3 linked regions of the Sus scrofa genome follow. The protein of the gene in region 1 interacts with the protein of each later gene in a pairwise test. Links are inferred from orthologs where the notes say so. Each region holds a gene or a part of one and is shown on either strand. Other genes may lie near its edges.

What was found.
Region 2: the proteins of PRKCI (region 1) and PARD6G interact in binary tests that used the Homo sapiens proteins (3 or more experiments, as listed by UniProt). The link is inferred for Sus scrofa from reciprocal best matches to the Homo sapiens genes PRKCI and PARD6G.
Region 3: the proteins of PRKCI (region 1) and PARD6B interact in binary tests that used the Homo sapiens proteins (3 or more experiments, as listed by UniProt). The link is inferred for Sus scrofa from reciprocal best matches to the Homo sapiens genes PRKCI and PARD6B.

Annotation. Positions count from the first base shown.
Region 1 is NC_010455.5:108,985,967-108,989,615, reverse strand, and holds part of PRKCI (protein kinase C iota type), read right to left. Parts: coding exon 3,600-3,649; intron 2,140-3,599; coding exon 2,014-2,139; intron 874-2,013; coding exon 794-873; intron 1-793.
Region 2 is NC_010448.4:128,163,631-128,167,279, forward strand, and holds part of PARD6G (partitioning defective 6 homolog gamma), read right to left. Parts: intron 782-3,649; coding exon 1-781. UniProt on the Homo sapiens protein: Adapter protein involved in asymmetrical cell division and cell polarization processes. May play a role in the formation of epithelial tight junctions. The PARD6-PARD3 complex links GTP-bound Rho small GTPases to atypical protein kinase C proteins.
Region 3 is NC_010459.5:52,193,962-52,198,229, reverse strand, and holds the start of PARD6B (partitioning defective 6 homolog beta), read right to left. Parts: upstream 2,871-4,268; coding exon 2,805-2,870; intron 1-2,804. UniProt on the Homo sapiens protein: Adapter protein involved in asymmetrical cell division and cell polarization processes. Probably involved in formation of epithelial tight junctions.

The sequences.
Region 1 (3,649 bases):
ACAAGGCATCCTGTTTTGCATACTGACACTTTTCACCTTCATTCTTCACTGTGTTAAAACTTAAGTTTCTAGTTTAAATCTTTCTTCATATAAAATATTTGTTTAAAATAAGCCTGAATTTATCTTTTTAAATCAATATCATATCTATTTATCTTAGAAACTAAATGTACATCAACCTACTTTCTAATCTACCACTTATTTAAAATAAGATTTTTAAAGTAAGAGTTGGAGAGTTGGTTGTTTGTGTGGAAAACAAAAAACAAAAAACTACACATGTGGTGTTAGAAGTGATAAGTAAAAACACTTCAGAATTGTAATCTTAGATCCTAAAATGCTTTTAGTCCATCAATGCAACAAACAATGGAATGGTGTTCAGATTTTTTAAAGAGCCAATGATAGCATTTCATTTCTTCTGAATATTATCTAATTATAGGGTTTTGATATGAGATTTTGTAGGGAATCTACTGCCCCAAGTTCTCAATAATAAGTAAAGATACTCTATGAAAATTTTAAAAAATAGAGCTGAAAATAAAATTAAGACTATCCCCAAAGATGTAAATTTTCCCTAATTGAGTACATGGTATATATCATTTACCTTGAAAACACCACATGCAATATATAGCTGGGGGCAAATTAAATGGAAATAACTCCTCTCAGGATCTAATGCTGCCAACTTACTCTTTGATGATGGTCCATTGTCTCTGATTTCAGAGTTTTAAGGTGCCTGGACTTCTACTTACCAGTTTCATTTGTACGGAGATAAATCACTACAGATTTTATACACAATTTATACCTTGTTGAGGAAGCTCTTCAGGACACTTGCAGCTTTTACAGACAGAGAACGTGGTATGCGAATCTGTTTTTCCAAAATAACTAGAAAGGTAAAATTTATGGCATTTTATTTAACTTTTACAAGTCTTTAAATTTTTATTATGAGATAATTAAGGCATTCTAGCAGGAAAAAACCAAGACATTACACACACCACTTAAGCGTCCTGTGTATTCCCAATCCCATTCCTTTCCTTCCTTCTCAGAGACAGCTCCTAATCTAAATAGTTTTTATAATATTTACCTGGATACATTTTATTCTTTGACTACTTTCCTTTGTCTTGGTTTCATCTGTGCAATTGGAATACAAATAATACCTGATTCATAGGGGTGTTAAGAGGTTTAAATGAGTTAGTATCAGTAAAATGTGTGGTATACATTACTATATCGATTTTACTGGATGTTGCCAAATCATTCTCCAAAGCTGCAGTGTCAATTTTTACTACCACTACCAGTCTAAGAGAGTTCCAGTTGCTCTGTATCCTCACCAGCACAGTTATTATCAGACTTTAAAAATTTTTGTCAAATGCGTGGGTATGAAATAGTAGCTCATTAACATTTTAATGTGCACACACCTAATTGGTAGTGAAGTTGAATGTCTTTCCATATATTCCACAGCCATATGGATTTCCTATTACATGAAAGATCTATCCATTTCCTGTGACGGCCTTAACTGCTAAACACAGGATCTTACGGTAACTTCTTTGGACTGTGTGTTGGGGGTGGTCCTTGTGCCTGTCTGCTTGTTTCTTTCTGTTCTGTTCATTTCTTTGTTATTTCCAATTTAGGGGCTTTTTTTTCTTTCACCTTTTGATCCCTCTTGTTTTCTTAGTACTCTACTTTTCCTCCATACTGTTCTTAGATTTATGCATTCGGCCTCATGGTCCAGGTGAAAAGACTGTCCGCTCTACACACACAATTCCTTCCTCCAATCTCTGCGATACACCATCTGAAAGAACCTCTTTCTGTGTTTTTGGGTATGAGAAGGTAACTAGCAAATGGACTGAAGACAAGAGAAGTAAAAAAGGATATATTGAAATAAAAACAAACTTAAAGCTTCACATGTTAAGGAATATACTGTCCAGATGATTCTCTTTCTTACTCAAAGTTAATACTTAAGCTGTCCTCATTCATGCTCTAGAACAGGTTATCCACAGAGAATCTCTGTAAAATACTGCAAATTACCTTGAAAAAGATAATCCTCTGTGTTTTGATCAGGGTTATCAGAGCTCCCAACAATATCAAATGGAGACCTTCCTGCCATCATCTCAAACATTAGTACTCCAAGGGCCCACCAGTCAACACTGAAACCTTTGAAAAAGAAATTTTAAAGCAACAAATTATCCATTCTGCGGTCTTAAAAGTCAGTGATTTGAGATTCATTTTATTACATAATAAAAAAGTAAACTTCATGAAAAAGCAAACTCTAAATGCATTACAACTATCATGGTAGGCATTGAGGATTACGGGACTATTTCACTTACCAAAAAAAATTTCACTTATCAGGAGTTCCCATCATGGCTCAGTGGTAATGAACCCAACAAGTATCCATGAGGATGTGGGTTTGATCCCTGGTCTCACTCAGTGGGTTAAGGATCTGATGTTGCTGTGGCTGTATCTGATATTTCAAGGATATAAGTGTACTGAGAATAGCCTTCCTTGGTCTGCAACTTGATCTCCTGTTACCTGATTAGATTCTTAAAGGACTTTGGAACCAGATTATGAGCAGCTATCAGAAGTACCCATCCTCCTTTATAACTGCTGAAATCAGAGGGCCAGAACCCAAAGGGTCAAATATTTTAAGATAAACATATCCTCTGGTTCCTAACAAGCAGTCAATCTTAGATTCCTAGGAAAAATACCCCACAATATCTGAACAATTTTCCAGAGGTTTATGACTCTAGAGTCACATGGCTGAAGTTTAAATCCCAACTCTTCCTGTTTCTAGCTACATGACCTTGGGCAAGTGATTTAAACTTTCTGTAAATCAGCTTGTTTGTAAAATGGTAATTAATAGTGCTTACCTCACAGGATCATTGAGAGGATTAACTTAGTTAATATATGCAAACTGCTTAAACTTGTGCCTAGCACTGTTAAGTGCTTGCATTAATAAAATGTATTATTCAAATTTGCACCCTCAAAATCTGCCAAGGTCCCACTGTCTCCAATTTCAGAGTCTGGGGTTTTCACACTGGTTTTAAGAGGATCAAGAAAGTTTATATTGGAGTTCCCTGGTGGCTCAGTTGATTAAGGATCCAGCATTGTCGCTGCTATGGTTTGGGTCGCTGCTGTGGCGCAGGTTTACAGGTTGAATCCCTGGCCCGGGGACTTCTGCATGCCATGGGTGCAGCCAAAAGAAAAAAAAGGTTTATATTAATAAGATCAGTATTAGAGTTCCCACTGTGGTACAATGGGATGAGCAGTGTCTCTGCAGTGCTGGGACAGAGGTTTGATCCCTGGCCCAGCACAGTGAATTAATTAAGACGTTGCTCCATGTGCCATGGGGCAGTCAGGAAAAAAAAAAAAGAAAAAAAGATCAGTATTGAAATACTACAGTGTACTGTAATGCAATTACTACCATATATATATATATATATATTTTTGGACAAGTTCATGGCATGTGGAAGTTCTTGGGCCAGGGATCAAACCCAGGCCACAGCAGTGAAAACACAGGATCCTGAACTCTCTGAGCCACCAGGGAACTCTGCAATTGGTACCATATTTAACCACCCTTCTAGTATATAGTCAAATGTCACTAGTTTATTTATTACCATAATCTTCTCCTCTTAAAATTTCAGGAGCAATGTAATTAGGAGTGCCA
Region 2 (3,649 bases), on another chromosome or scaffold:
CCATGCTCCTCCACCCCTCCTGGGGGCAGGTTTAGGCTATGCCGGGTTTCTGACCGGAGGGAGCTGAGCAGCTTGTGCATGCTGCCCTCTCGCCCAGGGCTATGCAGGCTGGATGCCAGGCTGGCTCCGTTGATCCGCGGGAGGCTGCTGGCCGGCGGCCTAGAGACCTCGAGGACTACATCAGCCTCCTCGTCACTCTCCATGTCATCCGGGGGCAAGTTCTGCAGGACGTGGGCAGTGGGCAGGCTGTGGCGGCTGGCCGTGCTGTCCGAGGATCGGCTGGAGCTGCCCGATGCGCGGCTGCCACGTACCACGTTGTTCCTCTGATTGGCTGGCTTGACTGTGACGATGAGGTTGTGGCTGTTGGCGATCATCATGTCTGTGACCTGGTCCAGCGTCTTCCCGGCCACCTCGATCCCATTTACCTCCAGGACCTCATCGTCCACGGCCAGCAGCCCAGTGCTCTCAGCCAGGCCTCCAGGCACCATGCGGGAGATGAAAATGCCGGGCACTTTCTCCAGCCCCTGCGGGGCCACGCGCACGCTCGTGCCATCGCGGATGTAGAAGCCCAGTGGCTTCTGGCAGCCGTGCCGGTAGAGCCTTACACGGCGGTGGGTCTCGGGGAGGATGTCCACATCGATGATGGAGGACACAGGGCGGAAGTCGTGCGGCAGGCCGATGTGCAGGTGCGCCCGCCGGCGAGGGCCGTCCTCCCGCAGGGCCAGTGCGCGCCGCCGCCTGGATAGTGAGCCTGCCCCGAAGCTGCCATGCTCAGCCTCCTCTGGAAGAGTGCAGAGGCAACAGTCAGAGGACAGACCATGGGGGCAATGTGGAAGCACCAGTCAGGCAGCATTGAGGCTGGCTGTCCAGGTGTATCTCGGCTTTCTGCAGCTTACCTTCCCACCACTTCTCTAATCTGTGATATGACCCCAGGGAAGTCCGAGGCAATGATTACCACAGTCAGATCAGGTAAAGACTGAAATAAATACACCTCTCACACAGGTGGTTAGGAGTTGAATGTTCATTTCAGCACACTTCACCTTCTGGGAAAGTCTCAACCTCCAGGATGATATGCAGACACACTGGAGTAACTGGATGACTTGCTTTGCTGAGCCCACAGCAATCAGCTGAGCTGGACTAACAGTATTCACCAGGTAAACGTTTGACACTGAATTCAAGCACGATCACCTCCCTAAAATTAGTTCTTTAAAAATCCCCAAACTGATCGCCTGCCAACCAGGCAACCAACAGAATGAATGAAAGGTTAAGAGAATTAGATGGAAGATTTAAAAGTGACTGACTGAATTCTGGGATGATGGTGGAACAGAAAGCATCATGAATATTTCCCCATCAGGACAATAACTGCAGGGCAGAATCTGTCTGATGTAACTCTTTTGGAACTTGAGAGTCTGCTGAAGGCTAAACTTCCAGGGGAAGAATTGGATGGTAATTGTGGTCGATTTTGGTCAATTTCAACACTTAGCACAGTAGCAGCTACTTTTCTACTATCCTAGCACCCAAGCAAGCAGCTGTGCACATGTTTCTGGAGCAGTTTGTGGGACCATGGTGGGAAAAAAATACCCTGTCCTCCAAACATCAGAGATCTATGCTCTGCTGCTGACTGCTACTTCTGATCACAAAGGCACAGACAGAGGTGAGTGGCTATTGTACCTCCCTGCCTTGTTGCAAGCCCATCCCTTCCAGCTAAAGGAATGTCCAGGAGAGTTATAGGGCTGGCACTCTTTCTCTTCCTTCATTTTTCATGTTTTCACATTTTGGAAGCCAAACCTTAAAGTCTAGGACATTAAAAACAACTGTATAAATGGGGAAAGTTGGAAAGTGACTGCACACGCATAAGGAAAATCTCAGAATGAACCTTAGAAGAACTTAAGTTCACATCTTAATGCTCATACTCAGCAAAGAGACAGCCTACAATAATTTTCAAAAACCCAAAAGAGTAACAACAAAAACTTAGCAAACCCTGAGGAAGGGGTAGAATCTGATTTCCAGAGAGCTACCACATCATTAAATTAATCTCCAATGTTTAGCAAAAAAATCCACAGACATACAAATAAACGAGAGTATGATCTACTCAAAGGAAAATAACAGAAACTGTCCCTAAACCATCTGATGGCAGATTTACTAAAGACTTGATTTTTAATTTTTTTTTGGCCACTTCCATAGAATGTAGAAGTTCCCAGGCCAGGGACCAAACCCATGCCACAGCAGCAATGCAAGCCACTGCAGTGACAATACCATATCCTTAACCTGCTATGCCACAAGAGAATTCTAGGTTTATAGACAAAGACTTCAAAAAAGTGGCCTGGAGTTCCTATCGTAGTACAATGGTTAACGAATCTGACTAGGAACCATGAAGGTTGTGGGTTCGATCCCTGGCCTTGCTCAGTGGATTAAGGATCTGGTGTTGCCGTGAGCTGTGGTGTAGGTTGCAGACACAGCTCAGATCCCCCATGTTGCTGTGGCTATGGTGTAAGCCTGTGGCTACAGCTCCAATTAGACCCCTAGCTTGGGAACCTCCATACGCTGCAGGAGCGGCCCTAGGAAAGGCAAAAAGACAAAAAGACAAAAAAAAAAAAAAAAAAAAAAAAAGACATGATCAAAAACCTAAAAAAAAAGATATGGGGAAAAAATGTATGAAATGGAAATATCAATAAAGAGACAGAAAACCTAAAGGGAAACCAAGTTGAAATTCTGGAGCCGAAAAGTACAATAACTGAAATGAAAAACTCACTAGGGGGATTCAAAGGCAGATCTGAACAGGTAGAAGAAGGAATCAGTGAGAAACAAAAAAAAATTAAAAGTGAACAGAGCCTAAACAACTGCTGGGATACCATTAAACAAACTGACAAGTAACTTGTGAGAGTCTCAGAAGGAGAAGAGAAAGGAGTGGAGGGACTATGAAGAAACAATACCTGAAAACTCCCAAACTTTATGAAATGCAGAAATATAAACATCCAAACTCGATGAACTCAAAGAAACCCAAACCAAGTCACAATATAATCTCACATGCCCCAGGACACAGGGCAGAAGCAGTAATTTGAAAAGAGGCTGAGTCAGGCCCACCTGCTGATCTTGGAGAGTCTCTTGGAGAGGCAGGAAGCAACTGAAGTTCTCCTGGGGACACAGACACTGTGGCAGCCATTTTGGGGGAACCTGTACCACCACATGGACACTGGTACTGGCAAGTGCCATTTTGGAGTCCTCTCTCTAGCTTGTTAGTCTCAGGACCCAGCCCCATCCCTGGACCACAGCCTGTAAGGCATCTGTACCGGGAGGCCCCAGGACAAACAACTAGCCAGGCAGGGACACAGCCCCACCCACTGGCAGGCAGGCTACTTTAGGACATTATGAGTCCGCAGCTACTCCTGCAGATATCCCTGCCCAGTGGAGAGCCTAGGACCTAACACCACATACCAGTGTACTGGCACTAGACCCAAGATCCACAGGCCCTGCAGCCAGAGACTGTAGGACCCAGCTCTGCCTACCAGTGGACAAGTACCAGCCCCAGAACTCCCGTGGCCCCAGCTTTGACCACTAGCAGGAAGACAATAGTCCTAGGACTACAACAGCCCTGCAACATGCTGTGGCAGGATGCAACCCACTTATCAGCAGGGCAACACCAGCTCTG
Region 3 (4,268 bases), on another chromosome or scaffold:
GTCCTAGCCACCTAGAATGTGTGTGGACATCCGTCTCCCGGCATCTTTTGGTATGTTCTAGAAATGCAAACAATTTTAAGATTCTGTTTGCCCACAAATAATAACTAGGAAATGTACAGACCAAAGACTATTCCAAGTCTTTAATAACCCAAGGTTATTAAAGGACACCACCTTGCTTATTGATTAAGAGCTTTTCCAACTCTGGAGAAACAGGATGATACATCAGTTACCAAAGTCACATGGTAACTGGCATCGCAACTTAACTATAGTTATATTTGTATTATCCATTACTTGTGCTATTTTCCCTTTCCATGAGCAAAGATAATAAAGTTGATACTGTTTTCTGTGCAGAAGAAAAAGATCCTGAAAGGTGATCTGGACATCACCTAGTTGTGGTTACAAGCTCCTGGAGAACAACTTTGTAAAAAGTTGTGATATCACTAAGGTAGTGAAAAAGGAAGTATTGTTTCACACATCTGTCCAAATATTTTTTAAAGGGCAAAGATGCCAGGTGTTTTATTTAATCCATTAAAAATAAATGCATATTTAAAACACAAGGTGTCAGGACACACTAGAAACAGCACTGTGCCTATTTATCAAGAGCTGGAACTCGAGTGGGACCTCACTTCATGAGATGCAGGTTCTCAGAATGCCTTAATTCTATTTAAGAGACATGATTCACTAGAATGACAAGTAAAATACATAGTATGGGAAAAAAATCACAGATCAGTTGACAGAAGAGAAGGGCAGTAAGCCTGAAATTCCAGTCCCCAAGACCTCAAGGTTTCCGAGTCCCAGAGATAAATTACTACTTGACTGTATTTATCAGTGCACCTAGAAGCCTTACTCATTTTTTTCCAATGATAAAAAATTAAAGACTTGCTACCACGATTAGGACCGCAAACTGAATTTCAAGATTATGCAATATCATAAGTGTTTTTCTTTTCTTAACCTCAACTCCTACAAACCCAAACTAGATTTAAAACAGAAATGCCATGAAAAGGTTCAAGCTCTGGGCACGGAACCACTACCACCACTACACTAGAGGGAAAGTTCTATATATTTTGAGTTATTCTTAACTTAGTTCAAGCATGTTACTTCAATTTGCTATGGCAGTTCCATGGGGGACACTGGAAAGTGTATTCCTTAAACTGCCATAATTACATTTATACTCTTATTAAGCAGAACAGTTTCTGAAACTAGTGCCTATTCTGATACACGAGTTAGGTTGAAAATTACATTTTAAAATAATGTTAATAATAAGTGTAGGAGTTCCCGTCCCGGAGCAGTGGTTAACGAATCCGACTAGGAACCATGAGGTTGCGGGTTCGGTCCCTGGCCTTGCTCAGTGGGTTAAGGATCTGGCGTTGCCATGAGCTGTGGTGTAGGTTGCAGACGCGGCTGGGATCCGACACGACGTTGCTACGGCTCTGGCGTAGGCCAGTGGCTACAGCTCCGATTAGACCCCCTAGCCTGGGAACCTCCATATGCCGCGGGAGCGGCCCAAAGAAATAGCAAAAAGACCAAAAAAAAAAAAAAAAAAAAGTGTAGATATTCTTAGCGCAATGATCTCAGTTACAGCAATTTACAGAACTTTACTTATCAACTCTGGATAATAGAAACCATTCTATCCACAGGCTCCAGGGAGCCCTCCTTACTCTACTGCACTGAAAATCACCCCTTGATTTTGCATTCTCCTCCTGTAATCTTACATTCAATGATATTTCATTATTTTTTAAGTTGATACGGTTTTACTTTTCTCCTCTTCCTTCATGTGTTTTGATCTTCCCAACGCCACATGTTGCCCGGCCCCTGTTCTCTTTTGCAGTCTCTGAAGCCTACACCTTATCCTTAAAAAGGCTTTAAGATTTTGTCATAAAAAGCAGAGCTTGTCGAAGTCATAACCTTTCTGAGCTCCTCATGTTCCTGGAGAATCAGACTAGATTATCTAAGTCCCTTTTGGCTCTTCGATTCATGTTTGGGGGTGGGGCGGGGGATCATCTTCAAATTCCAGCTCAAAACTCCCCTTGGAAAGCATTCCCTTACTAATCTCATACGCTATCCTGCTCAGGGAGCCTTGCAGTTTAGGAATTCCGTGGCTACCGAGGTAATTATCAGCAGACTGACATACCGTTGGTCGAGAGTGAAAACACTTGACGTGAAAAGGTAGCATGATGGAATGAAAAGAGCACCCAGATTCAAACTGTAAAGGGCTAACGAAAGTAGAGATTGTGTTAATTTTATAGATTAAATGCATGCCAAAGTTAGAGCTAGAAAAATCCCTAGCAGGAGGCAAAGCTAACTTTAGAAGGGCTCTTAAGTTCCCTGGGCTCTCTCACCACTACTCGATGCACCCTTGAACCACAGGAAGAGGTAACATTTTGTGACCATGGGTGTTCTAAATACCCTTTACTCATAGGCCAGGAGATAGAATTCCTCCAAATGTTTCGTACCACGCTCCGCTCAAACGTCTCCCACCCTCGGGTAGACCTCGGCCCTTGCTCCCATCCTAGAACAGGAACGATTTTTATGGAAGGAGACTGGTCTTTTTCCTACCTGGAGCAGGGGCAGACACGATGCCCCCACCCTCGCCCCCTTCTCAGCAAGTTCATTACCCACTTTCTTCTACCTACAAAACCCACCACTGCGTCCCCTACGCTCTCAAGCCCCCGGGCAGCTCCTAAGGCCGGCCCTGGCCAGCCCCTGGCCTCCCCCAGGCCCCAGTCGGTCCCCTTCATCCCCACAAGGCCCCGGCCCCAGTCCCCATCTAGCTGGCCGCTCCGCCCAGCCCGGGCCCCGCGCACCTTGCTCTTCACCTCCATGGTCCCTAGGCAGCCGCTGCCCGCTCCGTGCCGGTGGCTGCGGTTCATCCTGAGGCCGGGCCCCTCAGCGGCCTCCTCCAGCGGGGCCGCCCCTGGAAGCGCAGGGAGCTAGTGCGCGGCGGGTGGAATCGCGACGCGGCTGCGGCCCGGGCGCCTCCTCACAGGCACCTGCAGAGGGGCGGCCGCAGCTCGGGTTTCTGCGCAGAGCTCCGCTCGACTGGATCCTCACGCGGCGGAACCAAGGGTCGGACTGGCGGCGCTGCAGGCGGGGACGCGACTCCCTCCCTCCCGGCCTCCGCGGCGGCGGAGACGCTGAGAAGGAGGAGGAGGCGGAGCAGAGGAGACAGGCGCCGCAGCCTCGCTCCCGGCCACCTCCCCCGCGAGCCCGCGCGCGCGCGCACTCGAGCCGGGCAAAAGCCGCGGCTCGTGCGCGCGCTCACCTGCAGCCTCCGTAGACGCCTTGGCCGCTCGCGCTCCGCCCACACCCAATGGGAAGCGCGCACCTGCGCCCTCAGCGCCAACCAATTGATACACGCCTCGCGAAGCGCATGGGCGGGCCGCCTTCTCGAAAATCCCGCCTACCGCCGTACAATTGGTCCCGCGTTGCGAGGGAGGGGCGGGATCACCTGAAGCCTTGGGCCTCCTCTCTCGACCAAGCAGGAGAGCTGGAAAGCGCATGCGCGCGCTCTGGAGTTTCCGCCCCGGGACCGCTGGCCGGAAGCGTGAGCGCACCTGGAGACGAGCTAGGGCGGGTTGGCCGTTTGCGCACGCGCAGGCGCGCGCCGCGTTGCCTTGCACCCGGCCGGAGCTCGCGCCCGGGTGATTGCGGAGGCGCGGTGGGGCTGATAGGTTTGTGCTGTCCCTTCCCTTCCACTTTGGGATGCTGCAGCCTGCAACAATGCCCCTCCAGCACCCATATACGTCGTTTAGGCTTCTGGCTGCAACTCTGATTGCAAAATTCAAGTTTCTCGCCTCTGCAGCAGTTACTGGGCAAGAATCTCAGGGGCTCTCCTGACTTAGTTTTGTTAGTAAAGACTCTTCAGTCCGTCAGATCCCAAGGGGTTGAGTGGGCACTAGAACGGAGGGCTGAGGCCATGGATGGCTTCTCGAAGGTCCGGCAGAGAGTACTTCTAGATCAGCCTTCCAGGGCTTTCCTTTTTATTTTTTTTTTTAATCTCTGAAGTTTCCCTCTCCCTCTGGCCGTTTCTGGGCTATTCGCTTTGTGCACCAATGACTGGATTGTGTTCGTTGTCTCCCCACCCGGCAGATAATAAATGACTGAATCCGTCTCTCTAAATGCCCCAGAACTGGCTTTCTCCTCACAGGAACCCTGTTCAGCACTGGCCCTGCTAGGGCGGTGAGGAGACCCCCAAGGCCCCCACCCACCTGCAGAGGGGCTCCCAGCAGCACTGCTGCTCATCAAAATCATTGGAACCCTCCATCAGC